Pelodiscus sinensis: one gene and its partners. The protein of the gene in region 3 interacts with the protein of the main gene of each other region in a pairwise test. Links are inferred from orthologs where the notes say so. Each region holds a gene or a part of one and is shown on either strand. Other genes may lie near its edges.

Region 1 (7,506 bases), on a different chromosome or scaffold from region 3:
CTATTTATTTTTCTCATGCTTATAAATACAAGTAATAGCAGGACGGTAAAGAACTAATTACTTCCTTAATAGCAGAGCTCCTTTCTGAAATACATACCAATCCAAAACTATGTTATCAACTTCATACTTGGTTTCAAAAATAATCCCACCATAAAGTAGTTAATCCAGTCATTCCTAACACTTGTTCAGAAGTCTTCCAGGATGCACTTTATCTTATTTGGTGAGAATGCAACTTAAGGGTCAGCTTCTGCTCAGGAAGCATTCTGATCCATATAAAGGAGTCAGCACATACTGAAACTAGTTACTAATCAAATTATACAAACAGAATAATTTATTGGCCTGATACCTAATTTAATTTTTACAGTAAAGGAATCTTAACTACAAAATATAGGTACAAGAGAGTTCAGAGGATTGGTAATGAGAAACAGAGCCCATCACCTTTCGCTGCCAGACTGGAATCCAGTTTTGTTAGAAACCAAGTCTGATTGGTCCGAGCAGCTATCTGAAATGATTTGGTGAGGCTTAATCCAGATCCTTAATAAAGACAAATCCCACATCCCAGACACCACCACAATTATTTTTTTAACAGTCTGAGCAGAGAAGTCAAGCAGTGAATGGGGAGAATGAACTTGTCTTCTCCACATGTGGTAAAGCAGTCACTATTGATGTACGTTAGTGATGGGTGCAAGCTTGTGCCCTTTTTGCAGGTGGAAGACCCAGGCTATCATGCGCTTTTCTCTAGGTGACCTTGGAGAGATCTGCACAACTCCACCTGGTATTTTCTAAGATGCACAAACTAAAACTACTATTTCTCCTGAAGATCACTCCCAGTCAGAGACCATCCAGCTCACCTCATACAAACACATACTTGCTGTAGGCTTAATTTGAAAACAAGTCGTTTTCTTGCTTTCATCTTCTATATAGGCATTTTAATAAAAGGAATAATCTGGGTTAGGTCCCAGTGTGGCTGATGACAGTTATTTTAAGCATTTTTATATCCGTTTGGCTCAATTAACTCACTTCAAAACATACTGTCCTACTTGAAAAATTGTTTCAGAAATGGGATGAGGCAATGGAACATTCTCCTTCTATATAAGGTTCTCTATCCACTTCTGTCTGCAACCCGTATTAGGTAACTAAATTTGCTTCCAATGTTTTTAACAATCCACTATAAACTAAAAATTACAACCACCACTACAAAAATTATCAGGTCCCACAGAATCCCTTTTCTTAAGCTGCTAAACTAGTAGGTCTGTTGGTGGTGCAATATGCAAATGTAGTACCTGCAATCGTACTTCAGGTTTTTTCAGATTTCAGGATCTGATTAGAACCCCATAAGCAAAGAGATAGCAATCTTAATCAAAATTAAAGCATAGTCTGGGACATGCTTTCATTTTTTATGTTTGCTGCTTGCTTTTCTGGGTTTTGTAAATAGCACATACAAATGAGAAAAGTATGAATATTTGTCATGTAAAAAGAGTGTGATGTGATTAGAACTCATTAAGTTGGACCACAAAAGGCAGATGAAAAGGCGAGATGGATTTGGATAATATTTTAGGGATCCACGCATTTTTAGCACTTTAACAGATGTTAGAATGTAAATTATAATATAAATGAGTCCTACCTAGGAGTAGGGACATTAATTGAATAGTTAATGCAATTTGCATAGACTATTTGATTAATTGATAAGGGTGCATCTGCCTTTGAAGTGTAGCAACACCCCAAGGACTATTGCTACACTTCAAAGGCAAAAGCACTGTGGGGAGCATGGGTCCAGTGGAGGACTCAAGCAGTGCCCCGCTGGCCCCATTCTCCCCATGGCTTTTCAAAACAGTAGTGCCACGTGGAGACTGGAGTCAGACCTTGGGCTCCATGTAGCGTTGCTGCTTTGAAATGCCATGGGGAGCCTAGCATCAGGCATCACGCAGCATTTCAAAGCAGCAACACCACATTGAGCCCAGGGTCAGCAGGGCAGTCCCCGGCTGAACCTGGGTTCCATGTAGCACTGCCCCAGGCTGCACACAGTGCTGCCACTTTGAAGCACCCCTGCCATTCTCTCTCTCTCTTCCCCCCCCACACCTCTTTCTGACAGGGGGAGGGGGAGAAGGGAATGACTAATCCACTAGTGTGTCCACTATCTGATAAGCATTTGTTTATTGGATAGTTGACTAGTTGGGCACATCCCTACCTAGGAGCATTATGGAATACCGCAGAACAGTTACATTATACCCTTTATACCTCTCCAACTGTACACATTTTCAAATTGCGCAGAGCTATTTAACCTCGTCCAATCAGTCTCTGTGAAACATTCATTTCCCAAAGTTTTGAAACACAAGACCCCACTCCCTGGGAGTCCATGGAGCCAGCAAAGCCCACACTGCGGCCGAGGCCCAGGGCTGTTCAGACCTGCCATATAACCCAGGGCCACGCAGAACAGTAGAACGAGCGAGCAGCCCCGGGCACCTCGTGACTCACTCAAATGCCCAGAAGCACGAGCCTGGGCCAGGAGAGCCCATTGCGGGGGGGGGGGGGGGGGGGGGGGGGGGGAATGGCCTCGGGCCGAGTCTATTGCGGGCCCCCCCCCCACAAGCGCACGAGCCCCGGGCCCAGCCCGTTGCGGGGGAGGGGGGAGGAGCACGGGTCTCGGGGGGGGAGGGGCCCCCACAGGCGCACGAGCCCCGGGCCCAGCCCGTTGCGGGGGAGGGGGGGAGGAGCACGGGTCTCGGGGGGGGAGGGGCCCCACAGGCGCACGAGCCTGGGCCAGGAGAGCCCATTGCCGGGGGGGGAGCGGCCCCGCCCGCAAGGATATTGCCTCAGCAGCGCCTCCACCTCGGGGCCCGGGTCCGGCTCCGCCGCCGCCGCCTCGTCCGGCTCCTCCACGAACTTGTTCTCGTCGTACTCGTCGATGTCCAGGCGGCGGAAGCGCGAGGAGAGCGTGTTCCGGGCCATGCCGGCGCGAGCCGCCCGCCGCCTGCCGCGCGCCGCTTCCGGGAGGGGCGGAACCGGAAACCCCGCCCCCCGGGGGAGTCTGCAGCAGCCGGAAGGACGAGGGCGGCGTGCGGCTGTGAGGCGGGGACGCGGGGAGGGGCGGGGCTAGGCGGCCGTGGGGGCGGGGCGGAGTGCGGGGGGCGCGGGGGGGCGGGGCCCGGCCGCAGGGAGCCCCGCCCCGAGCGCTGCCCTTGGCGCCAGGCCAGCTGTTCCCCCGCGGGCAGGGAGCCGGAGCGCCCCCCCCCCGGGCACGCGCCCTGGCTTGTGTCTGCGGGGGGGGTCCGGGTGGAACCGGCAGGCCCGTGTCCCAAGGGTCCGGTTAACACCCGGCTGTGTCCAGACGAGCCGCTTTTCCGGAAAACCTGCCAGCTGCCTACACGGCCGCCTGGATTTCCGCAAGAGCACGGACTCCCCACTGTCTGAATGGGGCTTCCTGCGGGAATGCCGGCTGCTCCCTTCGGCAAAGGCCCCTTTGCGCAAAGCTTTGATTTGGTTTCCACAAAAAAGCCCCGATGGCGAAAATGGCGACCGGGGCTTTTTTGCAGAAAAGCGCGTCTAGATTGGCAAAGACGCTTTCCACAAACAGTGCTTTTGCGGAAAAGTGCCCTGCCAGTCTAGACGCTCCGTTCCGAAAATACTTTTAACGAAAAACTTTTCTGTTAAAAGCATTTCCGGAAAATCATGCCAATCTAGCCGCAGCCACGGAGACAATGGGAGTGTCGGGTATTTTCTAAATCCGATGCAATGTAGATTGTGATGCAATGTCACATGTGTCCGGTAGTTTTGTTGAACTCATCTGGCAACTCTACGTGGGGGGGTGGGCAGGTTAGAATAAAAAAGTTGAGAACCACATTAAACCATAGCAAGCGTAGGGCTACGGTAGCCCAGCTCCTTACGTGGCCAGGTCCACATACCAAATATTTTAATTACATGACAAACCATTTCAACTCTGCCCTCCTTTTAAAGTTATGCTACTAGGTTCAACCATCTCATAAATGGACATTTCCTTTTAAGATATGGAAGAAGGTGGTTTGTGACTTCTTGCAGCTAGATTTATGAATGAAGAAATTACATGCTACTCCCCATTGCTGAGGTTCTCCCCACCCCCAAGCTGTGTTTCAATTCCAATAAAAGTCTTCATTTCTCCTGTCAAGCATTTCAGTTTGCTTCTCTGTTCTTGAGAAAATGAATTGTGCCTTGGAGATACAAGAAAACAGTTAAGTTCATGACAGTCTAACAATAATATCAATGCAATCAAGATCAATTGATTTTTCCAACATTTTCTCATGCAAACTTTTTTTTTTTTTTTTTTGTGTAATAGAGAAGACATAATTGGACACTGTAGAGGGATCAGAGAAGCCACCACTCAGGTACAGTTTTATCCAAGACTTGAAAACTGTCATTTTAATACAATTACTGCCCTAAAAAGAACCTGCTGTAAATGAAGTGTATCTACTAGATTAACAGATCAGTAAATGGTATCACACTACATGCATGAGCTGAGATAGTGGCAGCACCTAGAATAATCACACCACTTCTTCCATAACAGTTTACAGAAATACCATTTGGAGTTGAGCATTACACAATTGAGGGGGTCAGTCTAGAACAGGGTTTCCCAGCCTATGGGTCAGGACCCAAATATGGGTCTCCATTACATTTCAAAAGGGTTGCCAAGTGTCTCTGTCCTCCTCCATTTTTTAATTGCCTTGGGTCACCAAGTCTTCCTGATTGTCAAAATGGGTCCCCAGCTACGAAAGGTTGGGAACCGCTGGTCTAGAACAAGGGCAGGCAAAATTCGGCCCACAGCCTGGCCCACCAAACCACCGCATCTGGCTGCCACCGTCTCACAATTCAGTGGGAGCCTTGGGGAGGCTCCCTGCCTGCTGTTTCCCTGCACACTGCTCACAGCAGCTGGTTGTGGGGGCCATGTGCTCTTTGCATGCTGTCCCCACCCCCAGCACAATCTCACAGGTCCCATTGGCTGCAAACCAGCCAATGGGAGCTGCCTGGGCCATGCTTGTGGCATAGGCAACACCCTGTCTCCCAAAGGATGCACAGCTTACAAAGAGCATATTGTCCCCACAGCCAGGGGCTTTGAGTGGCATGTGGGGACATGGTCTGCAGGGAGCCTGCTAGAGTCCCCCAGTGGGTTGCTGGCCTGGAGCCACCTAAGGTAAGTGCCTGTCAGTTAGCACCTCTACTGGACACCCCCCCCTCTACTACATCCCAATTCAATGCCCCAGGTCATAATCCACCCTCTGTACCCTTGTCCCAGATCACAATTTTCTCTTGTACCCATCCTTGCTCCTGGACTCTGCACTCCATTTTCCTACCTTGAGCTCTCTTCTGTACCCAACCGCTATAGCAGACTCTACCCCTCTTTCGTTAATCTCATGGAAGAGTACAGCCCTTGACCACTTACCAAATTCTTAGGTGTGCTCCCCCCTCAAAATTATTGTCCACCACTGACCCAGAAACAAAGTTCCATGTTTGAATGGTGTTAGGACATAGGTATTCAGGCCTATTTATTCTACCAGTGAAATACACAGAGACGTTTTGGAATTACAGTTCATCTGCAAGTTCAGTTCTCATGCTAATGGGCTCAATTGGGACGAGGGATGGCTGGGCCATTACCAACCAAACATTCAATGAAGGTGCAAACAGCTCTTTAGGTAGATTTTTGTGTTAGTATCCCCCCCTACTGACTTTGATCCTTATCTGCTTTATTTTAACTATCCAATCTTCAGGTAATTACTGATTGCCTATTCTGCCTTCCTGTTTTTCCCTTTGATTTTTTCATAATCTCTGCTCCTTGTTTCCTACCCTCCCCCACCTTTCTTTTTTTCCTTCCCCCTTATTTATTTTGGGTCTGCACATCCTAAACTCAAAACTCTGGTTATCTGAAGAAGTGGCCTGTACCCACAAAAGCTCATGATACCATCTACAGGTTTTGTTAGTCTGTAAAGTGTTACCAGACCAGTTTTTAAGTATAAATATACAATGTAAGACAGAATTGGTGCAAGAGGAGTTTCAAGTAAACAAAATTAATTTTAATCACATATCAAGACGTAAATGAATTTCCAGTGTTCCACAATTATAGTTGTCAGATTCACATTCTTGTAAAACAAAAATCCTCCTCCCCAACTCCCAAATTATTCCAAGATTCAAGGCATGGATATTTCAACTGTTGACCCAACAAAGCTAAGAAAAGTCTTCAGAGAATGTGTGTGCTTCTATTTCAGTTTATACCATTTACAAAATTATAGAAATCAAGGTCCAAATCCAAGAAAAGTGCACTTGTGGGTTTCTGTACCACATGTGAGATCAATAGGAATCCAATGAGTCTACCTGTCCCATGATCCTTGCCAGATCTACTTATAAATTTAGTACCTTGCTCTTCATTTATATGAAGTCAAAAAGATCAGATTGTTAAAGAGTAAGTTATCCTATGAAAAGAGCATGTATGTTCAAAACTACATAAACTGTTTTACTTTTGCCTGGCTTCACCAGAATACTTCTGAAATGTTAGGAAAGTAGTGACAGTGAAAGGGAAATAGCACATTCTTAAATCCCAGTGAGATTGTTAACTTGAGCCATTAGAGATGCTATAAATATACAAACTGTAAACTGAGTAAGAATGCAATAGAACCCTTTGGTAGTGCCAGGACTTGTTCCATACCTGTGACTTATAAGAGTCTGTCCAAAAAGTTAAATTATGTTTCAAGACCGCAGTCTTGGACTCAGAAGTGTTTTTACTTGCACTCAAGAATTAAAACTTATAAATTAAAATCTCAACATTTTCTTTGGTAGGAACCTGTTTACCCACTGCCAACTCTAATTGCTTTCCAGCTGTTGAATCTTTGCTGACACTATTAGATGCTTAATATTGCGATTTTACTACTGTGGCTTTTTCCAAAATTTCAATATGGAATTAGGTATTTTAGGCACAACTGCTTAAGTTCTCCTCTGAAAAGTAATTTCAAGAGTGGTTTTGTGGACTTCCCTATTTGTTTCTCATTGACCTCTAGATCAAATCCATTGTACAAATATCCCTTTTACCTAAAATCAAAGCCAAGATTGGTGTGGTATTCAGAAACAACCTAAGCTATTACAGTTACAACAAGGTTAAACAATGTTGTTAATTTACAAGCAAGAACAGGACCCAGCTCGTGTCTCTGCTACATTAGTATTTGCAGAGTCAATAACAGAAGTGACAAGCAATAACTTATTTTAGTATGTAAGTGACATCTATCCAAGGAGTGGCTGTAATGAATCATGTCATTTCTATACATTCAGTTTTCAGAAGAGAACCACTCTTTTAAAGTTTGTGTCCAAAACATAGTATCGTAACATTAAGATCAGTTCTATAATTGATAGCCAAAGTAGTTCTTACTGAGGAGGAAAGAAGACATGCTCACATCAACAAAGTAGGAGTTTTATTTGCAATATTTAACCTAGGAGGTGGGTTTCATTTAAGATATGACTTTATTAAAAATACAAGATATGACAAATCAGAAC
Region 2 (7,945 bases), on a different chromosome or scaffold from region 3:
TTGCTTTAATGAGCTGGCAAAATAAAAAGTGCAAAGAAATGTACAAGGACGTCATTATTAACCAGGGCCAGCCCACAACATTTTGGCACCTAAGGTGGGGAGCTCAAATGATGCCCCCTTGCCACCTTTTCTCCTGCCTGTCTGTTATGTCTCTTGTGCCCTCCTTTCTCCAGCACATCACTCCACCATCTCTGTGCATCTAGAGCAGAGAGAATACATATGCACCAGCAGCAGACACAATTTTCTACACTCTGGGTACTAGTGGTGTCCCCTGCCCCCCACAGTCTGGCACCTGAGGCAGCTGCCTCAGTTCACCGCATGGTAAGGCCAGTCCTGTTATTAACCCCTTGCATACTGGCCACTGCCCTCTATCCTCCTACTGTAGCTACTACCAGCCCCTTGTCAGCGGCATGATAGATCTCATCTTTCACTTACATGTCTCAAATAGCTTAGGCTATGTCTACACTACGGGGCTTTTCCAGGAAATTCTCTGCTGTGTCCAGGGAATGTGTCTTCTCTTCCACTTTTTTTTGTGGAAGAGCAGACGCACTCTTTTGGAAGCCTTGTCTTCCTCTTTCCATGAGGAAGAAGGACTCTTCAGAAAGAGGAGGTTTTTCCAAAATTTGGCCCAGTATAGACGGGCCAAATTTTGGAAAAGCCTCTTCCGAAAAAACTACTGGAAAAAGGTACGCAAATTGTGGAATGCAATTTGTGTACCTTTTTCTGATAGATCAGTGTAGTCTAGACATAGCCTCAGCTGCACTCAGCCTGGTTCTTTGCCAAAGCCAATCTCTGGTGAGCTCCAGGATGTGCTTTCTCTAGGGATTAGGGAGCCCTCTACTGGCTGGGTGTTGAACACACAGTGCCCTTCTCTGGCTAGTGATAGAGATGTAGCCGTGTTAGTCTGGGGTAGCTGAAGCAAAATGCAGGACAATGTAGCACTTTAAAGACTAACAAGATGGTTTATTAGATGATGAGCTTTCGTGGGCCAGACCCACTTCCTCAGATCAAATAGTGGAAGAAAGTAGTCACAACCATATATACCAAAGGATACAATTAAAAAAATGAACAAATATGAAAAGGACAAATCACATTGCAGAACAGGAGGGGGATGCGGGGGGGGGGGGGGGGGGAGGAAGGAAGGTAAGTGTCTGTGAATTGATATCATGTGCCGAAAGTGTCCGTCTGCTATGTACATTGGACAAACATCTCAGACACTTCGCCAAAGGATTAATGCCCACAAAACAGATATCAGACAAGATCACAAAGAGAAAACAGTTTCTTGCTATTTTAACCAGAAAGGACACTCTCTCAATGACTTAACCACCTGCATTCTGCTACAAAGACCTTTTACATCTGCACTTGAAAGGGAATCCTCTGAACTGTCATTTATGTTAAAATTCGACACTTTCCAAAAAGGACTCAACAAACATTTGAACTATCTCACCCATTACCAAGATAGTTTCCCCAATTATCACCTCTAATACCATTAACTCACAAACATCCCACTCTCCCTACCTCTAATATCATCAATTCACAGACACTTACCTTCCTTCCTCCTCCCCCCTGCATCCACCTCCTGTTCTGCAATGTGATTTGTCCTTTTCATATTTGTTCATTTTTTTAATTGTATCCTTTGGTATATATGGTTGTGACTACTTTCTTCCACTATTTGATCTGAGGAAGTGGGTCTGGCCCACGAAAGCTCATCATCTAATAAACCATCTTGTTAGTCTTTAGAGTGCTACATTGTCCTGCATTTTGCTTCTCTGGCTAGAGCCTCTCCCTCCAGCTCAGCTGGTCTGGAAGGAAGAAACCCAGTTACTGAGCCAGCACTAGAGTGAACATATTTCCCAAAAGGGAAAATGGGACATCACACCACATAGGTCTGGTCTGAGCCACTCGTCTGAGCTTCCCTCCCCATACAGAGGTCAGGCAGGGTTCAGACAAGCAGTAATCCACAAACTAGAGAGGGTGACCATATTTCCCAAAGGCTGGGATTGGTGTTGCTCACTCAAGTCATGATTGTCCCCACAGGAGCCCTGATTTCCATGGGACTGGACAGGCATTATAGCTCACCCTCTCTCCCCCACACCTCATTTTTTGTGTGCGTGACAAAGGTGGACATTTGTCCTGTTTGCTCTTGGCAACTGATCAAGCTGGCAAAAGCAAACAGGGCAAAGGCTCACTTTTACCCAAAAAAATCAGGATGGCTGGACAGGGCTTAAAAAACAGACTCTCTCAGCCAAATCAGGACATATGGTTACCCTAGCCAGCACGTTCATTACACTAGGAGCAAGGGAGTGGAATGGAATGGAGAAAAAGAGAGACATAGAGAGATGGGGAAAGCACCAAACAGAGAGAGGCCAATTAAGGCCCTGGGCCAGAGCAAGTGGGGGTCCCCTCCCCATCCCTTCTACCTATGGTCCTGCCCCACTACACACCTTTGCCTGCAGCCCTGCCCTGCCCATAGGACCACTTTATTCAGCTCCTTCCCCCACAGCCTTCCCTCTGCTCTACCCACAGTCCTGCCTCATTTTGAACCCCTGCATTGCGGCCTCACAATCTGTTTGCTCCTTTCTGCCCCACCTTGTGACTCCAATACCAGAGACGCTTCTGTCCCCTCACTATCGCCCTGGGGCTATGGTGGAGACTTAGAGCCCCCCTAGTTCTGAGGCCGAGGCAGGGTGTTAGAGCTCTTTCAGTCCTGGGGCTGCAGTGGGGTCTGGGTGCTGGGGCTTTCCCTGCCACTCTGGGCTTCTGAGGGAGACAAGGTTTGGGGACCTTGTTTCTCCTGTTCCACTCAGCACTTTTGCTGGGGAGCAAGATCAGGGTGCAGGGGCTTCTCTAGGCCTGCTGATGCTTCTGCCAGGGTTTCAGGCTTCTGTTGCCCCATAAAAGGATTCTGCTGGAGTGGGACATCAATTTTTCTAGGGTCACCCAATTGGCCAGGGCACTCCTTCTGCCCATTGGATCATCCACTGCTGATGGTAAAGGAGTAAGGAGCATGGGTGACTGAAGGGACTGGGGTTTAGGAAAGGTCAGAGCCAAGAGCAAATCAAGAGTAAATGGGAGAAGGCAGAGTCTATGGCATTGTCAGGCCAGAGTGCTGTGAACATTTCTGATTTCACTCCTCAGAGCTTGTCCTTCTTGCGGATAGCCCACATGATTAGGGCAATGTGAGCAACTTGGGGCTCAGTGTCCATAGAGATGTCTTCAGAGTTTCCTTTAGTAATAGAGATAACAAGGACCCAGATGGGCTTTTCCTCCCTCCCCAATTGCTTCTGCTCTGCACCAGGTTCCTGCCAGGGACAGGCCTTTTCTCCTGGGTCTGATTGTCTTTAGAATCCACTCCTTCTCCCTCAGTCCATTGGCCACCTGGTGGCCTAGAGGGGTCCCTCAGAGGTGATTCTCTTGCCAGTCCAGTCTAGGGTACCTAACGGGGAATGTCACACTCCCCTGCTCTGCTAGACCTGGGCTATGTCTGGATAATGTTTATGATAAGAAGTATTTTCCTGTATTATAGAGCTAATGTCCAGCCAGACTCTGTCCACAGGAAATCACATTGGTGTAAATTGGTAAATTTTACCCTAAACAAAGATCAAATTGTTCTGGATAGATATCAATAGTTAGGCTAGGGTGTACAGTTACTATATGTGAAAGTTGCGTGATACCAATTTTTTCTCATAGATCACACACTTACACTAATTGCAATATGGAACAAGTTCAAGGGAAGTAGCCAGTGCCATAAACCAGTGTTAACTAAAATCCCTGACAATGCAGCAGGAAAATAAACAGGGTTAGTGTTTCTATCTATGTTAGTTGTCTGAGATGGAACTGCACACAGAGTCAAAGGTAGTGGGTGTACTGTGAATCAACATAGTGGCATTACGATACTATCTTATTTGTGGATTATTCATCGCCTTTGACTTGGCAGCTATCTTTGTCAAATGTTGGCACCCTGTAAGGCTCTGATCCAGTACCATTCTTTCTGAGATACTTTGGAAAATTCTCAGGCCTTAGTCTGGTATCACTGAAGGTGACATACAGGCACTTCTCTGCATAGTTATTGGTTGCTCATGCACAACACAGACAAATGTTATTTGACAGTGTGGTTGGAGTTACCATAACTAATAGTATCAGAGGGGTAGCCTCTGGAAATTTCCACTACATGCATCTGACAAAGTGGGTCTTTGCCCACAAAAGCTTATGCTCCTACACTTCAGTTAGTCTGTAAGGTGCCACAGGACTCCTCGTTGCCATAACTAATAGCTTTCTAGAACTTTTTGAGAAGATGCATTTCATGAGTCCTCGTGCATTTTTACTCTTGCTTCCCCCTGGAGTTTTTGTATTTTTTAATCTGGTGGCAATTGTGGAAAAAAGAAAAGTATTTTTTGCAAAAGCAGAGACATTGTTTTGAGAAATTGATTTAAAAATGTTAAAAGTGAAACATTTTAATACGTGGAATTAGATTTTGTATTAAGAACTAAAAGGTTGGAAAGCGAGAATTTGGGATCTAATTTCTCCCCTGCCGGCTAGGAAGGAAAATCTGAGACTTGAACTTTGAGCTGCTGGCTTTTCGTTCCGAGAGGCTGGGGCTCGCGAAAGGCATCGGGTGGGTCACCACGTTCCCAGTAAAGAACTACATTTCCCACAATACACCGGTTTCACGGGTACGTAGTTAGGGTCCTTCAGTGGGGGTACTTTAGCCGTTTGAGGAATGCCTGTGTGGAAGCAAGACTAGTTTCCTTGACCTAACCCCTTCGCGGACAGAAATGCCGACTCCTTCCCCCTACGGTGACGTCTCCATTCTCACCACTTCCCGCTTTATGACCGCATTGAGGGGTTGGCTCCCGCAAGTTGAGGGCTATTGTCAGGCGCTTGCGATAATCACCTGACGGGGTCCTAACGGAAGGGGCGCTCAGGCGGGGCGGCTCAGACTGGAGGCGCTGGTGGCGGCGGTTGGCGGGGCCCAGGAGTGTGTGTGCGCGCGTGAGAGAGAGGGGCGGGGCGTCACCTCCCCCCCCCACCCAGCAGGGAACATGAGCGGCAAAGAAGGTGACGCTGGGGTCGCGCTTGGCGGCGCCAGAGCACGTCGCTGCTGCGCCCGGGGGCGGGGAGGGCCCGGCGGGTTCCCCGGCCGCGATCGGTGACCTTCCCCTCCCCCCCCCCCCCTCGCTGCTCGCCGGCCCCTGGAAGGTTCCACCCCCCCGGGTTCGCGCTGGCGGGTGGCTCCGCGGGAGGGACTCCCCCGCTCCCGAGCTGTGGCTAGAGCCGGGCCCCAGTGCTGCCCCGGCCGGGGCGCAGCGAGGCGCCGGAACGTCTTGCGCCGCCGCTTTTTCGCGCGTAGAATGACTGGGGTACAGTTTGCTTGCAACAGTTATAAATGTGATTACACTGGTATCGCTTATGGGGGCACTAAGCCATAGTGGAGCAAATGCATCATCGTTCCTAGGGATTGTAGCAGCACACTTATACCAGGAAAAAATCCCACCCTTTAACTGGCCCAGGCCCTGGGCTGCCCGAGGGCTACTCAGCTATGGAGGCCACAGTGATACTCACAGAACAAGCCTAGGGCCGCATCTTAAGTGTGGTTGCATATACAGGCAGTCCCCGGGTTACCTACAAGACAGGGACTGTAGGTTTGTTCTTAAGTTGAATTTGTAGGTAAGTCGGAAATGGTGTCCAGATTCAGCCGCTGTTGAAACTGACCAGCAGCGGCTGAATCGGACACGCCTGGGGCAGAGCAGCTGGGGTGCTGCTGGGTTGGTCCAGTAGTGCCGAGGACCAACCCAGCAGCACCCCAGCTGCTATACCCCAGGTGTTCCCAAGTCAGCTGCTGCTGAAACTGACCAGTGGCTGACTACAGGACTTCTTGGAATCAGCCTCTGATCTGTTTCAACAGCTGCTGAATCTGGACTGGGACAGAGCAACAGGGGCGCTGCCGGGTAGGTCACCGCAGCGCCGCACCTCGGCGCTGCGGGGACCAATTGGGCAGCAGCCCAGCTGCTCTACCCCAGGTGTCCCCAAGTCAGCTGCTGTTGAAACTGATCAGCGGCTGATTCCAGGAAGCCCAGGGGGCAGAGCAGCTCTGTCTCCTGCTTCCTGTAGTCAGCCGGTGATCAGTTTCAGCAGTGGCTGGCTTGGGGACGCCTGGGGCAGAGCAGCTGGGGTGCTGCTGGATTGATCCAGTAGCGCCGCACCTTGGTGCTGTGGGACCAACCCGGCAGCCCCCCCAGCTGCTCTACTCCAGGCGTCAGCGAGAAAAGCCTGGTCTGCTGGGGGGGAGGGGGGACGCACTAGCTGCGCCCCCCTCCCCCCAGCAGACCAGGGAGACGCGGAGCGGCTTTTCTCGCCGCGGGAGTCTGTTGTTCCATGTCGGGTGGAGGCAGGGCTCCAAATGTGGCTAGTGTGAGTTAAGGATGTTAATAATTAGTCAACTATCCAATAAGCAAATGCTTATTGGCTAGTTGAGTAGTTGATTCCCCCACTTATTGCCCCCATCAGAGGCAGCAAGTGGGGGGGGGGGGAGAAGAGGGGATACTTCAAAATGGCAGCACCACAAGGAGCTGACCCCGGACTCCATGTGGTGCTGTCACTTTAAGGGGGTTCTTGTACACTTCAGAGGAGGAATGCAGAAGTACCTATCAACTAGTCAGTGGAAATTCCATCGACTGCTCGACTAGTATATTAACTGATATTTAACATCCTTAGTGTGAGCCAGTCAGTGCCTCTCAGGCTCTGCCCGCAAAGCTAAGCAGCCAGCACCTTCCACAATACCCCGCCGCTCTCTGCATCTCCTCCCTAGGGGCTAGAAATGCTGACACCCTGTATCCGTCTGTTCCAGCCAGCCTGTCTGCTTGCATCTTGAAATGTTCACCCTGCCTGAGAGATGCCTCTCTATTGTGGAGCATGTTCCTAGTGATGGCCATGTTCAAAGGATACCAACCGCAGGTTGCATGTTAAGCCCTGCATAAACCCAAACTGCACTGCGGGCTGCAAACAAACGGGCCGCGGGCCACATGCAGCCTGTGGGCCATGTGTTGAGTAGTCCTGTTCTATGTTATGGCGTGAGATTGATCTTGAAACTTCAGTTATGTGAATAGTGTAGCTGAAGTGAATGTTCTTAGGTCTACTTACCACATTATCGTGCATCAAAAGGAGACTCCCAATCGACTCCTCTTGTGCTCCCAGTTCTGATGGAGTACTGGAGTCGGCATTGGCAAGTGACTTATCATGTCTGATGCTATAAATTGACTCTTGCTGGATTGATTACTGCCTGTTGATCTGGCTGGTAGTGTAGACATGCCCACACTTATACAGATTTTGTACTCGTGTGTAGACCAGTGTTTAGAAGAGGGTGGTATTTAGTGCTGGTGACCTAACTTTTCATAGTTCATTGTGTTCCTACGTGCTCAGTTTGAGGCTCAGTATCCATACAGAGCATTTCCATTACCTCCCTAAAAACACTTCTGAAATGAATGCCATGACATCTGGTCAAAATGTTATTAAATTGGCGATCAATAATACTATTTGAATCTCACTTTTTTCCAATGTGTTTTATTTATAGGATCGGGTGGGTTCAGAAAACGAAAGCATGACAATTTCCCACATGGCCAAAGGAACGATGAAAAAGATAATGCTAATTCATCTTTGGTGGTGTCTTTTAAGTGTAAGTAAAAGTTGAAAGTTCAGACCGTGACCTTAACAATGTGTACAATAAAAGTTAGTGGAAATAAAATATTTAATGATGGAGTAAAATACAGTTGTCCATAGGCAAGATTGAAATCAGCAAAACATCCTTAAATCTGGAGCTTGATCTCTTGCTTTCTAAGCCAGCAGTGTGCCATGGTAGAGATGATGCGGTAATATTTTAGTTAGGGGAATGGTGAGACACAGCGCTTCTTGCTGATTACAAAGGATATGATTCTGTCATGGACTTCTG
Region 3 (6,820 bases):
TATTTACTTGTAGTCTAAAAGTGTGAAATGCACCTGAAATCTGAAGGGCATGTAGGCTTTCATTATATTTTGTTTCTGTAAAACTCAGGCATGGCTACTGCCAGCTAGTAACTTTTTTGATGGATTCCAGTTATTACTGGCATTTTAAATTGTAACTAAATCTTTTGTATTTTAAAAACCCAGAGGTATGAAACTTAAATTATCTTGGAACACGTGTGGTATGCCTCTAATGGACTACAAAGGCTGCCTACTACAATAACTCAGCTCATTAAGCATGCAGCTCCTCGCATTGCAAGCTGTTGAAATCAGCAGCTGTTGCAAAGGAGTGAAAGGTCAAATTATCAGTGACTAGAAAGCATGGCTATATCCCTCAGAAATAAAAATAAGTATTTTCAAGTAAGGGCACATTACCATGGTCTAGTTGATTATAGCACTTCATAGGAGCACAGGGATATGAAAGAAAACGCAAGTTCTGAACTTTAAAAAGGACAATGAGGTTTTCCCCACACAGTAAGCAAAACACAAGAGTTATTTATATTAAAAAGTTTATTATAAACATTAGAGCTTTCATAGCAGCATAAAGAGTATTATTGCATTAGTAAACCAATGTTTTCTAAACAGCCCAAAGGCCTTTGATAAATTGTGTCTGCATAAGAGTCTTTGCAGAAAAGTCTTTGTATATTGTCACAGTAACAAATCTCTAACAGACCATCAAAGTGTTTTCCTCTTAAAGTTTTGTAGTGCCAACAGTTCCTAGTTACAATATTTTGTCCAGTCTTTCCAAGTTATTTTTGTCCAATTTCCCAACCTTCTGTCCAGCTTTCTTAAACTTCCACTTGACCTGAAAACTTGCAATATTTCTTCAGCTCCTGGAAACTTGCAATACTCATTCAGCTCCTTGGCACGCCAGCCATTCCACTACTGCAAGGTAGTAGGGACTCACTCCTGGCATGAGACATCCCCTTCCTCCCTCACATCTTCCTTCTCCACAAGAGCCCACTGCTTGCCAGTCTGAGCGACTTAATCCGATCTCTTGACCAGGCTAATCCACAGAATCAGCAATGTGTTGGTTCACCCAGGCGTGCAACACCATGACGAGAATGCAACAAAGGTTTCAACCTCTCCAGTGCAATGAATCTTCATCACTCAGGCAGGGTGATAGTGGGCACCCAATCATTGACATGCCGGCTTTCCTCACAAAACAAGTTGAGCTTTTCCAGCGCAGGGTCTTTCCAAGCATCCTCATCTGGATTCTGTGATAAACAAGGACAAAAAAAACCCAAAACACTTCATGAGTTGGTATTACCAAGCTAGAATGCCAAGAGATAGGTACTTTGGGGAAAGGTTTGGTGAAGGGGCTAGCACAGAAAGCAGGACTAGTCTCTTTAAATGAGCAGGTATCTCTTGCCTAGAAACAAGGCACCGTTGGCACTGGGGTGGCAGGGAAACGTGTGGTCTTAGCTGAAGATCAGCAATCAGTCCCTGTACCAGCCATGCTCTGAGACTCCAGGGGGCATGGCATTTGGACATCTTAAGTCCCTGTGGCAGCAGGGGCAGCTGCAGCGGGGCAGGTCCGGGCTGCCCGCAGGCCTGGCAGAGGGCACTCACCGTGATGAGGATGCAGTGCAGGTCACGGGGCTCGCCCGACTCTTCGCTGGCCCCCACAATGTCGGCCAGCTTTGGGATGTCATGCAGGCGCACAATGTCGATGTCGTTGTCGCAGCAGAAGGCCTGGATGAGGGTGAAGTGGATCTGCAGGGCAATGTCCCCCTCGTCCTCCTCGGCCGCTGCCAGCACACAGAACGCCACCTTGTCGGGATCACTGTGGGGACAGAGCAGCTGTCAGCCCGGGGACAGAGAGTGGTACAGCCCCAGCAGCCCCCGCCGGGCCGCCTCTAGCACCCTCCCTCATCCCCAGCCAGCCACACACAGCTCGGATACTCACACGTTCATCAGCTTGGCGGACTCGTACACCCCGGCGGTGAGGCCACCGCGCCGCTGCGCCGACACCAGCAGCTCGTGGAGGGCTTTGCCCGCGCCCTGCATCCTGCAACACACAACGGGGAGGCGGCTCAGTCCCGGGTCCAGCGCGAGACCCCCAGGTCAGCCTCCCCTCCGGGCTACCCCCTGCACGCGCCCGCGCCCCGGCCGGCATCTCCGAGCCCCGCCACCACCCTCTCCACCGGGGCTCAGTCCCGGGGCCCGCCGCACGCTCCGGCGGCCACGCACCTGTCGCTGCTCTCGGCCACTGGCTCCTGTCCGTGAATCTCCTCCAGAGTCATGTCGCGTCTCACACGCTGTATCCGTATCCACGCGGGGCGGCTCGGCGCTAAGATCCCCCCGATCCGCTTCCCTCCAACTTGCTCTGCTCTTGTCCCCAGCGAGAATGGAGCGAGCTGGCGGCGGCGGCCGTATTTATAAGCAGCCTGGCTGCGGGGCCGGCAGCTGGCGGAGTCTCTGCAGCCCTCATTGGCCAGCCTAAGGGAGTATTATTATGATAATCAGGAGGTAGGCTGGGCCGGCTCGTGCCAGGAGGCCACGTGGAGGGGTAGTGGCGAGGGGTAAGGGGGGGCGGGGGATTACATTGCCTTCAGTCTGCTGCTGCTTTTGTTATATTTTGTTGCCAGGCAGACTGCAGATTTAATTGTAAAAAAAAAAAAGTAATAAAAGGGGAATACATTACGTTGAGTTGTCTGGTGTCATTGCATCCTTAATAAAAACGATGCAAAATGCACTAAAATATTACATAGACTAATGCAACTCTTACCGGTTCATTTAGAGAACACTAAAAAATAACTAAGGCAGATATCGCAAAAAGAAGTAAACGGTGAAGAGAGTGTTTTGCATTACAAATACACCCTACATTTACACGTGGGTCATTGTATATCTCGCTCCCTAAGTTTGCATCTTTTGTGTTGCATGTTTTGTGTTCCTATCCCAGCTAACTAGTTATCTTTGCTTTGCAAACTTACTAGCTCCGTAGATGGCTGCAGAAATGTTCTTGCAAACTTTACCAAAATGAGGGCACAAGCCCTGCATAAATAATGAGTCGTTGTGTGGAGCAGATTGTGGATGGCACACGCTGCTACTTTGCATTTCAATAGAAAGCGCACAATAGTGGAGGTCTGGCGTGTGGCAGTTTGGAGTTCAAACAATTGATTCTTTTTCTTCATAGCAACACTGTCCACCTGCCACTGGGGTGGGGATTTGCTGCTGGGGTGGAGGGCAAGAGAGGACAATTGCATTACTCTCCTATCGTCCAATCTGCCTCTGCAGATGAATGTCTCCATTTGCACACGCTTCTGGAGTGCAATTGAATGCCAGGCATTTTGAGCACGCGATCATTAAATAGTTAAATACTTTATTATAGTTCTTTGTTTTAATCTTTCATACACAATACATTTCAGAAAATTACACATGCACAGTTTGCAAGTAAGCATCCAGTATTTCAATACAAACTTGGAAAAGGTAATGCAGAGCCTGCTTTTGTAATTAATTAAAAACAGCCCATTAGATATGTATCTATTTCCTCAAATGTAACTGTTCAATAGTTTTAATAGAAACTAAAAAGTTGACACAGTTTGTAGATTATGAACTCACTGTATATTCCACGCACTCACTCGCCCTGAAAACTATCAAGAGTTTCATTTTACTAAGTATCCAAATCAGTGTACTTCATGCACTTGAACCCATTTCTCCAGAAATCCCTGTTGCTTTCTTTCACTCTAAAAAGTCATCTTGATTAGTAGCGCTATCTACTGGATGTTGAAGCAGCTGCTGCTAAAATGTATCCTCTACTGTCGCCTTGCCCTAGATACAAGTTACTGTGCAGACACTAAAAGGATTTGCTGTGGGAGGGAAGAACCAATACAGGCAAACCAAAAAGGGGACAACACATATTATAAGCCATGATCCATATGCAAATTATCCAAAAGCCTGATGTATAATTCCCTGTACTTGTTCTAGAGTACAGAAACTGATGCCTCTGTACACTTACAATAAGGTTTGCATTTTCTAGCAGAATGGTAATCAGGAATAAAATAGAATTGCACCACCTTGTGGGCTTAATGATTTAGACACTACCTAACAAATAAATGATATAAAATTGTCTTTAGAATGAAGAAAAACCCTGAGATAAAGTATTAAATGCACAATATACAGTATTTATAAAATAAGTGTATGCTAACTGTGCCACTAGACTACATTGACTACAAATGACATAATGCTGATTTAGATTTTTCAAAAGACATTCTAGAAAAACTTCCATCTAAATCAGAATGTAACCCCCATAACATTTCTCTATCTATATTACTGTGCATACACAATATCGCTAATATTACCATAGCCTTAGAATACTCTGTTTAGAGTATTTTTGCCATTTTGCTTTTGGCACCTCTCACAGGCTACATCTACACTGGCCCCTATTACGGAATAGGCATGCTAATGTAGCACTTTGGAAAAGGCAAATGCGCGGGGGATTTAAATATCCCCTGCGGCATTTGCATTTTCATGGCAGCCGCTTTTTTCCGGGTTGGAGATAAGCCGGAGAAAAGTGTCCAGACTGGCGCGATCCTCCGGAATAAAGCCCTATTCCGGAGGATCTCTTATTCCTACTTGCAAGCGGGAATAAGAGATCCTCCGGAATAGGGCTTTATTCCGGAGGATCGCGCCAGTCTGGATGCTTTTCTCTGGCTTATCTCCAAGCCGGAAAAAAGCGGCGGCCATGAAAATGCAAATGCCGTGGGGGATATTTAAATCCCCCGCACATTTGCCTTTTCCAAAGTGCTACATTAGCATGCCTATTCCGTAATAGGGGCCAGTGTAGACGTAGCCTCAGGGTATGTCTACACTAGCCCCCTAGTTTGAAATAGGGTGGCTAATGTAGGCATTCGAACTTGCAAATGAAGCCCGGGATTTAAATATCCCGGGCTTCATTTGCATGTTCCTGGGCGAACGCCATTTTTAAATCCCCTTAGTTCGAACTGACTGCCCGCGGCTACACGTGGCAGTCAGAAGTTAATCCAAACTAAGTCCTTAGTTTGGATTAACTGTTACACCTCATTGCAGGAGGAGTAACAGTTAATCCGAACTAAGGATTTAGTTCGGATTAACTTCTGACTGCTGTGTGTAGCCGCAGGCAGTCCGTTCGAACTAAGGGGATTTAAAAATGGCGCTCACCCGGGAACATGCAAATGAAGCCCGGGATATTTAAATCCCGGGCTTCATTTGTAAGTTCGAATGCCTACATTTGCCACCCTAGTTCGAACTTGGGAGCTAGTGTAGACATACCCTCACTTAGTAAAAACCAATTATGTCCATTTCCTTGTCAAGTTCTCTGGGCTACAATAGTTTGCAAGCCCTGACAGGGAATATCTAGTTTGTTTTTAAAAGTTGTTTTTCAAATAAGCAGAAATGTTCCAGTTGGGCCAACGTTTATAGAAACTTGATTTTAGAAAATCTAATTTGGGATCAAATTTGTGGATATAGTGCCCTTTTAAATGAATTTAGAGTGAAAGGAGCAGGATTTAATTAACTGAAAACTGAAGTTTTCTATTTAACCCCCCTCACCCCCCAAGAAGAGCTAGCAGTAATACAGGATTCCCCACAACAATGGCATCAGTGCCAGATGAACCAAGATGAGGGTATTTTCAGTTTCTATATCTATTCAATTAACTGGTATCAATGCTGAGGCTAACAGGAAGTGTTTGTTACATGGAGAGCTGTCCCATAAAAAGTCTGGGGGCGAGGGGAGCTGAGGGCTGAGACCAGTACCAGCTTGTTTCACACAGGCCACTAGAAAGTCATCATGAAGTAATGATATATGATTGCTACTAACTTAGGCAGGATTTTCTCCAGCAACCTATAGACAAAGGAGTCTGTAGCCTCTTACCAAATCTCCTGGGGGCATATAGTCCATCTTTAAATATAATTTGAGTCCAGAACACTGCAAGTGTCCTTTTCAATACTTCACTGCTTCATTTAGGAATCTTAGATCAAGAAGCATCTGGACTAGAGACTCCTGCCTCTGTTGTGGCAATGTATGCTAAATGTATTATTTTATCCAAAGAAAAGTTTCAGCCTTTTAAAATACTGTACTGTAATTTCTGTTCAGTTTGGACAGACTTCCAATGTAACACTTTGTATTATTTCTTTTTATGTTTATTTTTAGTTACTTCATGAACACTAATATTGCTATATCAATGACAAAATCAGAATTAAAGTCTAATGGCTGCAATATATTCAGGTTTTGTAAGCAAAAAATAAGCTGTTTAATTTCAGGTCCCAAAAATAATTTCCTATGGAATCTCCATTTAATTTGGGTGTCCAGGAGAATATACTAGATAAACCAACTCTTTCCTGATAGCATTTCTCAGATTACATCTAGTGTGGAATACAGTTCACTAAAGAGACTGCCTGGAATATTGCTTTGTCTGTATTCTCAAATATTAAATTTAGCCACATTTACTGTAGTAGAGGCTGGCTTTTAGGCACATGCACAATGCCTACAATATAATTCTGCCTCTGCAATGGACTTGCTTGAGAACATCATAACCTCTTAATTTATTTAATTGTAAAAGGAACATAATCATATCTGGTTCACAGAGGGTTTGAGAGAATAAATGGGCCATATTCAGTCCTAATGTAAACAGAGAATTCCAGGTAAGTCAGTACAGTAGTGCCAATTTACACCAGGATCAAATTTTCCCAAGTGTATTCACTCCTTTCCAAATGTCAAATGCTATACATGTGCTAAGTATTGAAAATTATTTGTCTAGCCTATTATAAGAATACATAATCATAGAGAGAAATGCATGTACTG
Region 4 (7,148 bases), on a different chromosome or scaffold from region 3:
TCAAATCTCACACAGCAAGGTTGCACTGCATACTGTGAACTCTCTCAACCATTGTCTGAAGGAGAAGGATGTTGGACCCTCAAGAACCTGTACTCCAAAATGTTTATTCATTGATGTTAATAGATATTCCTTCAGTAGGTTACTTCCCTCCCCTACCTGCATTTGAACAAAAGTAACATTCCCCTCAATCTGAGTTTACCAGAATGGCATCTCCAGTATAGTCTTACCAACTCAGTCTTTGCAACCATTATGAAAGGCAAGCCGTGAATTTCTAATGTGAACGATAAAGAACAAAATTATGATTCTCTTTCTCTCTGAAGAGGAAAAAATTCAAAACAAGCAAAAGACTTTTCAGTCCTGCATGATACCTCAATGAAGCGAGAAGGTACAATAACAGCTTCCCCTCTTTTCTTTTAGCTACCTTATAATAGTGTGCCTTTAACCTCAGTCATCAAATTGTTCATTTTGTGAATCTCATGTAAATAAACCCACTAGTGGACAGCTAATTCGCTACAAATTTGGGAAGACACCATGATACAGGCTCCATTCTCTTCCGATGTTAACTCTGAAACCTCAAGCTGGAAATCTAAATGCATATTGTAAATTGGGAGCATGTGGACAGAGTAAAATAAAAAAACAAACTGCACAAGGAAATTAATTGCCTATTTTTGACAATCAAACCAATAACCTAAATAAAAAAAAATCAGAAATTGCAGCAGAGGCTACAAGAACAAGGGATCTTGCTCCAGAATTTAGGTCTAGCTTGCTTTAAAGGACTCAGGGCTTTGGCTTTAACCAGGTAGTTGTAGCAGAAGCATAACAAATCCTTTTGCTCTTCAGGATTGTAGGATGACAATGTCTTCCAATGATGAGTGCACAAGACTTGTAGAATTAGTTTTATGCTCCTTGGTGACAAAGTTGATAAAGAAATCCTTAACATGGATTAGGCTTAGGAGTTGTTCATTGCCAGAACAGAATGATTCTTAACTTCTGAACCACAGCTGCACCAATCACAGGAATCCCATGATGTTCTTCATGAAGCATTAGATGTTCGAGAGATTCAGAAATCAGAAAGTTCTATGAAGCCATTGCTGCAATTCCATGTCCATTTTTAGTCTACATACTATGCAGCAATCTAGTTTCTCAATTTCAGAGGGCCTGAAGAACTTCAGATTTCAGTCGTGATTAAGCCCAAATAGAGTCAAGGGATCATTCAGACTGTAAAGCTTTTTCTACAGACTCAAGATTCAATAAGTAAGCTCTGTTTTCACAGCTGGTTGCTCTTCTGAATGTTTGAAGCTCTGGCACTCGAGAAAGAATGTTCTTTTAGAATAGTCACAACTCAAAAGTGCATTCCAGCTTACCATGTTCTGAACTCATCTGTTTAATAGACTTCTCCTGCTCCATCGGAAACAATCTGTCTTGATTCACACAGTCAGAACCGGAGAAAGACAGCTCCTCTTTACTGTTTTCAGTGAAATTGTTGATACAATAGGGCCTAGTGTGTTCTCCATTTTTTTGTGTGTATTTTAAACATCATTGAGTTTCCTCATTTGCCTCTTGGGAGAGAGGAAGACAGACAACAGAGCTGAAGGCCAGAACTGCAATTACAGGGACGTAGAACTGCAATTACAGGGACGTAGACCAGCGCATCTCTGATCTTTCTGTAACCTCTAGGGTTCGAAGCTGCATGCCACTCAGTGCAGCTCTCCTCTTCTCACTGAAGGAGGTGACCTAACATGGCTGAAACAATATGCACTTCTCTAACAAGCGAGCTACCTAGAACACAAACTAAGGCTAATGGTTCCAGCTTAGTTATTAACAGTGATGAGCTATTTCTAATGACTGTTTAGATTAGAATTAATACATTGCACTGATTAGATTTGGCCTGCTCCCTTAAAAAGGTTAACCCTGCCTGCAAAGAGGGTACTGACATAAAAGTTAAAGTGGGAATGAGTAACTGCCCTTCTCTAGATTAAATATAATGCAAGACCACTCAACCTCAGAGCTGTGAAAAGAGGAAGTTTTGCTCTGACTCATGCTCCATGGAAGAAACATCTTTGCTCCATTGAGATTTATTGTACCTGTAGAGTCATTGCTCTATTGGCCAGTTCTGTTTGCATAAGAACAGACCCTTCTATACATTTTATTGGGAGAAACCACACAGTGATATAGACCTATGCACAAGAACAGACCCTTCTATATATTTTATTGGGAGAAACCACACAGTGATATAGACCTATTCTGGTAGTCTCTCTGCCATAAAATGAGCTTATTGCTATGTCCTTTCCAATTCCTTTTCTATTGACCTGGTCATCCCTTCCATCCTGTAATGATCAGATAGTTTTCAACATTAAACACATGTAAGAGGTGTAGCATTTTTTTAAAGGGTGGTACTAATCACTGGATGTGTTCTACTTTTAAGATCTGGACTAAGCCACTCATGAGAGCCTTCCACTTTCCCCATGAAGATCACAATGTAGTAGGCTAACTCACTATTGCTTACTGTACAAACGTTTCCCTCACTCATGTGTTTACACATAGCTGTGGCACTTCCTGCAGGACCCAGGGCTGCAAGTCACATCATCACTATCAGTAGCATTCGACATGCATCTGATCAAGCGGGTCTTTGCCCACGAAAGCTTATGCTCCAACACTTCGGTTAGTCTATAAGGTGCCACAGGACTCCTCGCTGCAGTAGCATTCAGTGTGAGGGACTCTTATCTGAATGGGCATCAGGTAACACGGCTTGGCCTCCTCAAATCTCCATTTTCACTCCTTGTTGCAGCCCTGGGACCACACGATGGCAGGACTCAAAGCTCTTCTGGACACCCAGGGTGGTGAGCTGTGCCAGGTACTGCCAGAACAGAGGCAGGGCTTCGGCTGTAAGGATGGCAGAGTCTCAAATAGAAGGGAGAAGGAGCCTAGCCTTGCCAAGGGGGAGGAGGGAGAGCATGTACTGCCCATAAGACTGACCTAGAGCAGGGAGCTACACATGGGTTCCCAAAATTAGGGATGTTTTCCTTTGCTGAAGAAATTCTTGCCATTGGAAAAAGCTGCCCAGTCAAAAGCCCAGTGACGCTTTACAGAGGAATAACGTGCTCTGGTGTGTGACCAGGTCGGGGTGAGCAGGGCGCGCGTGTCAGTGTCACACACAACGCGCTCGGCTGTGCCCCTCCAGCACTGGACAGAGCAGGGAGCGCAGGCTGCAGGCTCAGCCCCCCCCGCCCCGACTCCCTCCTGGGCCGGCTCCGCACCCGCGGGGACGCCAGAGCCCGCCCGGCTGCTGCCAGCGAGGCCCCGGGCGGGGAAGCGGCGCGGCGCCCAGGAGCCCCCGCGCGGCCTGCGAGCGGCCCGGCCGGGTACTCACCACTGCGCGCCGCTGCCGGGCCCGGCCTCGCAGCTCTGCGGCGCCCCCAGCGGCGGCCCGGACATGGCGCGCGGCGCTGGCCCGGGAGGCGCCCCCCCGCCCGCGGCGCCGCGGGGCTCTGTCCGGGGCCCTGCCCGCGCGCGGCGGCTCCGTGCTGGGCGGCGGCGCGCGCTGCCCGCGGACTCGCCTCACGCCCCCGCTCGCGGGGCAGCAGCCGGCCCGCGGGAGGCGGACACGTATTTCCGGCGGCGGGCGCCTCTCGCGAGCCTACTGGCCCGCTCCTTCGCGCCGAGCCAATCGGGAGCAACTGCCCGTGCAGCCACTTCCGGGTCACGGGGCCGAAAACACAGAAGAGCGGCCGGAAATGGCCGCCTGCTCGCTTGTCCGCGCAGGCGCGACGAAAGGTCACTTCCGGGCGTGTGGGAAACACTTCCGGTAAATGAGACTCACTTCCTGTTCTAGGAAAGAAGAATTCAATGGTTGTGTTAAGGCTCCCCAGCATGTGCAGCCCAGAGTGTGATTCCCAGCTACTCCCTGACTCCCCACCATTGACACCCCACATCCCATCACCCTCAGCTTGCCCCAAGGATCCTCACTAACCTCCCCAGGCACCCCATGATCCCTTCAGTCTGCAGCCCCACACCTGGCCCTTTATCCTCCACTCACCCCAACTCACCCCAGTCACCTCTCACTGGCCCTCTATTAGCCCCCCACCCCCAAGTACTAATCCCCAATTACTCTTAATTTCCAAATCATCCCTACTCCTCATCTCTTTCCACCAACCCCTATAATTAAATCTCACTAAGGCCACATGGGCCCCTTCATTCTCCAGTCACCTCAACGACCCCCGGTTACCTCTTACTGCCCTTCCCATTGACCTCCCCACTCCCTATTACCCCAGTTGTTTCCTAGTTACCTCTTACTAACCGCTCCACTGACACGCTACTCTTCATCCAACTGACCCTCTCGGTTATCTTCTACTTTCTCACCCCCAACACCCATCATCCCCACTAACCCTGAGTCATAGAATCATAGAGCTGGAAGTGACCTCAGGAGGTCATCAAGTCCAGCGCCTTACCCTAGGCAGGACCGATCCCAACTAAATCAACCCAGCCAGGTCTTTGTCAAGCCGAGACTTAAAAACCTCTAGGGATAGAGATTCCACCACTTCCCTAGGTAACCCATTCCAGTGCTTCACCAGCCTCCTAGTGAAATAGTTTTTCCTGATATCCCCACTGTAATCCCCAGGTCGTTTTCTGCTGAACTGCTACTTAGCCATTCAGTCCCCAGGCTGTAACAATGCTTGGGATTCTTCCATCCCAAGTGCAGGACTCTACACTTGTCCTTGTTGAACCTCATCAGATTTCTTTTGGCCCAATCCTCTAATCTGTCCAGGCCACTCTGGACCCTATCCCTGCCCTCCAGCGTATCTACCTCTCCTCCTAGCTTAGTGTCATCTGCAAACTTGCTGAGGGTGCAATCTATCCCCTCATCCAGGTCATTAATAAAGATGTTGAACAAAACCAGTCCAAGAACAGATCCTTGGGGCACCCTGCTAGAAACTGACTGCCAACCTGACATCGAGCCATTGCACTACCTGTTAGCCCCAACAGTCTAGCCAGTTTTCTATCAATCTTACAGCCCATTTATCCAATCCATATTCCCTTAATTTGCTGGCAAGAATGTTGTCGGAGACCATATCAAAGGCTTTGCTAAAGTCAAGGTATATCACATCCACTGACTTTCCCATATCCACAGAGCCAGTTACCTCATTATAGAAGCTAATCAGATTGGTCAGGCATGACTTGCCCTTTGTGAATCCATGTTGACTATTCCTGATCACTTTCCCCTCTTCCAAGTGCTTCAAAATGGATTCCTTGAGGATCCCCTCCATGATTTTTCCAGGAACTGAGGTAAGACTGACTGGTCTGTAGTTCCCTGGATCGTCATTCTTTCCTTTTTTAAAGATGGGCATTACATTTGCCTTTTTCCAATCATCTGGGATCTCTCCCGATCTCCACGAGTTTTCAAAGAGAATGGCCAAAGGCTCCTCAATGACATTTGCCAACTCCCTCAATATCCTCGGATGCATTAAATCCGGGTCCATGGATTTGTGTATGTTTTAGCTTTTCTAAATAGTTCCTAACTTGTTTTTTCCTCACCAAGGGTTGTCCACCTCCTCCCTATACTGCGTTGCCTAGTGTATTTGTCTGGGAGCTGACCTTGTCTGTGAAGACAGAGGCAAAGAAAGCATTGAGTACTTCAGCTTTTCCCACATCATCTATCACTAGGTTACCTCCCTCATCCAGTAAGAGCCCCACACCCTCTCTGATCAACCTCTTATTGATAACATGCCTGTAGAAACCCACCCAACTGATCCCCCAATTACTCCTCATGGACTCCTCATTTTCCAGTCATCCCTAATTGACTGCCCAGTTACCCCATACTGATTCCCCACAGTTCTTTTCTGTGACCATTGGTTCTAATTGGCAGAGGGCAAAAAGCATAGATTTTTACACTTATCCCCTAATTAGGTTATGTGCATGATACTTCATCAAAGGGTGGTATGTGAGTTCTCTACCACGAGTAACTAGCCCACTGGTCATCATAATAATTGTGAAATGTATATAGTGATAATATATAAGAAATTATGTATTTATGCAGAAAATTATATTCTTCAGTTTTAAAGGTAAGGCACATTTTAAAGCTAGGCAGGTTACCAGGAGATGATTTTACTCAGAAATGTTCCTTTCAGGCAGAAATTAACAGACACCTAACTTCCTGTCTGGCCATTTGGGATAAAATGGTGTCCTTGGCCTCTGTTTGTCAGAGGCTGGAGAGGGATGGCAGGAGACAAATCACTTGATCATTGTCTTCAGTCCAGCCTCTCTGGGGCACCTGGTGCTGGCCACTGTCGGTAGACAGGATACTGGGCTAGATGGACCTTTGGTCTGACCCAGTACGGCCATTCTTATGTTCTTATGTATACCTCACAATGTATTCCACAATGTACACTGAGCCAGGGGTGGAATGGAAGATTCTGAAATATACCCAAGAGGACATTTTTAAGATGAAATATACAGCTGATGATGTGAGTGTGGGTTTATAAGTAAAGACACAAGATTGTTATGGTATCTCTTGGGATGCAATGAAACACACGGGGTCCTTAAGCTGCGAGGCAACTGACTTCATTCTTGTAGCACTAAAAAAGGGTGATAGCCAACCTGGCCGTAAAGCATTGTGAGGATTTGGGGTGAGCAATACTTGGTTAGACTTAAGAGTATCTTGTTAATGGGAGTGCTGTGATTTTATATGTAACAATTTGTTTCCAATACTTCTACTCTCTACTACTTGAATCTCTATGTGTAGTCATATAGACTTATACAGATTTAGCGACTATGACCTTGTGTTCTTGGCCTTGATTTCCCTCTTCCCCACACAAGGGGGGAATGGCTGCAGAAAACAGTCCAGGGGAGATAAACAGGGGCATCTCCTGAATGGGACTTGGGAGCTGGAGACATGATAGTCTTCAGGCACAATCTCAGGCTCATTGTCCCTCTCCTATATGATCACAGGGCTTCCCCTAGGAGGGGCTTTGGGTACAGTGCAGACTGTCATGCCTGGAGTCCTGCAGCCTCCTCTTTGTCACCGAGGGTGGTGTTTTACTCTTCCATCTCAGCAGCACCCTAGGCTGCAGATGCAGAAGGAGTAAACAGTGGGGGGGGGGGGGGGGGGAGAGGAGGTTCCAGTTTTAGAACATTGACAGTGACTATTGTGG

Evidence for each region.
Region 1: the proteins of GADD45G (region 3) and ARPC5L interact in binary tests that used the Homo sapiens proteins (3 or more experiments, as listed by UniProt). The link is inferred for Pelodiscus sinensis from reciprocal best matches to the Homo sapiens genes GADD45G and ARPC5L.
Region 2: the proteins of GADD45G (region 3) and TSNAX interact in binary tests that used the Homo sapiens proteins (3 or more experiments, as listed by UniProt). The two-hybrid records come from large-scale screens. The link is inferred for Pelodiscus sinensis from reciprocal best matches to the Homo sapiens genes GADD45G and TSNAX.
Region 4: the proteins of GADD45G (region 3) and LRIF1 interact in binary tests that used the Homo sapiens proteins (3 or more experiments, as listed by UniProt). The link is inferred for Pelodiscus sinensis from reciprocal best matches to the Homo sapiens genes GADD45G and LRIF1.

Annotation. Positions count from the first base shown.
Region 1 is NC_134732.1:24,991,081-24,998,586, forward strand, and holds the start of ARPC5L (actin-related protein 2/3 complex subunit 5-like protein), read right to left. Parts: upstream 3,038-7,506; 5' UTR 2,950-3,037; coding exon 2,809-2,949; intron 2,034-2,808; exon of another isoform or gene 747-2,033; coding exon of another isoform or gene 708-746; intron 1-707. UniProt on the Homo sapiens protein: May function as component of the Arp2/3 complex which is involved in regulation of actin polymerization and together with an activating nucleation-promoting factor (NPF) mediates the formation of branched actin networks.
Region 2 is NC_134713.1:123,989,571-123,997,515, forward strand, and holds the start of TSNAX (translin-associated protein X), read left to right. Parts: upstream 1-4,921; 5' UTR 4,922-5,042; coding exon 5,043-5,058; intron 5,059-5,236; exon of another isoform or gene 5,237-5,360; intron 5,361-7,570; coding exon 7,571-7,672; intron 7,673-7,945.
Region 3 is NC_134716.1:47,518,854-47,525,673, reverse strand, and holds GADD45G (growth arrest and DNA damage-inducible protein GADD45 gamma), read right to left. Parts: upstream 2,399-6,820; 5' UTR 2,283-2,398; coding exon 2,230-2,282; intron 2,048-2,229; coding exon 1,946-2,047; intron 1,823-1,945; coding exon 1,609-1,822; intron 1,254-1,608; coding exon 1,143-1,253; 3' UTR 529-1,142; downstream 1-528. UniProt on the Homo sapiens protein: Involved in the regulation of growth and apoptosis. Mediates activation of stress-responsive MTK1/MEKK4 MAPKKK.
Region 4 is NC_134737.1:14,473,710-14,480,857, reverse strand, and holds the start of LRIF1 (ligand-dependent nuclear receptor-interacting factor 1), read right to left. Parts: upstream 3,107-7,148; 5' UTR 3,048-3,106; coding exon 2,977-3,047; intron 1-2,976. UniProt on the Homo sapiens protein: Together with SMCHD1, involved in chromosome X inactivation in females by promoting the compaction of heterochromatin.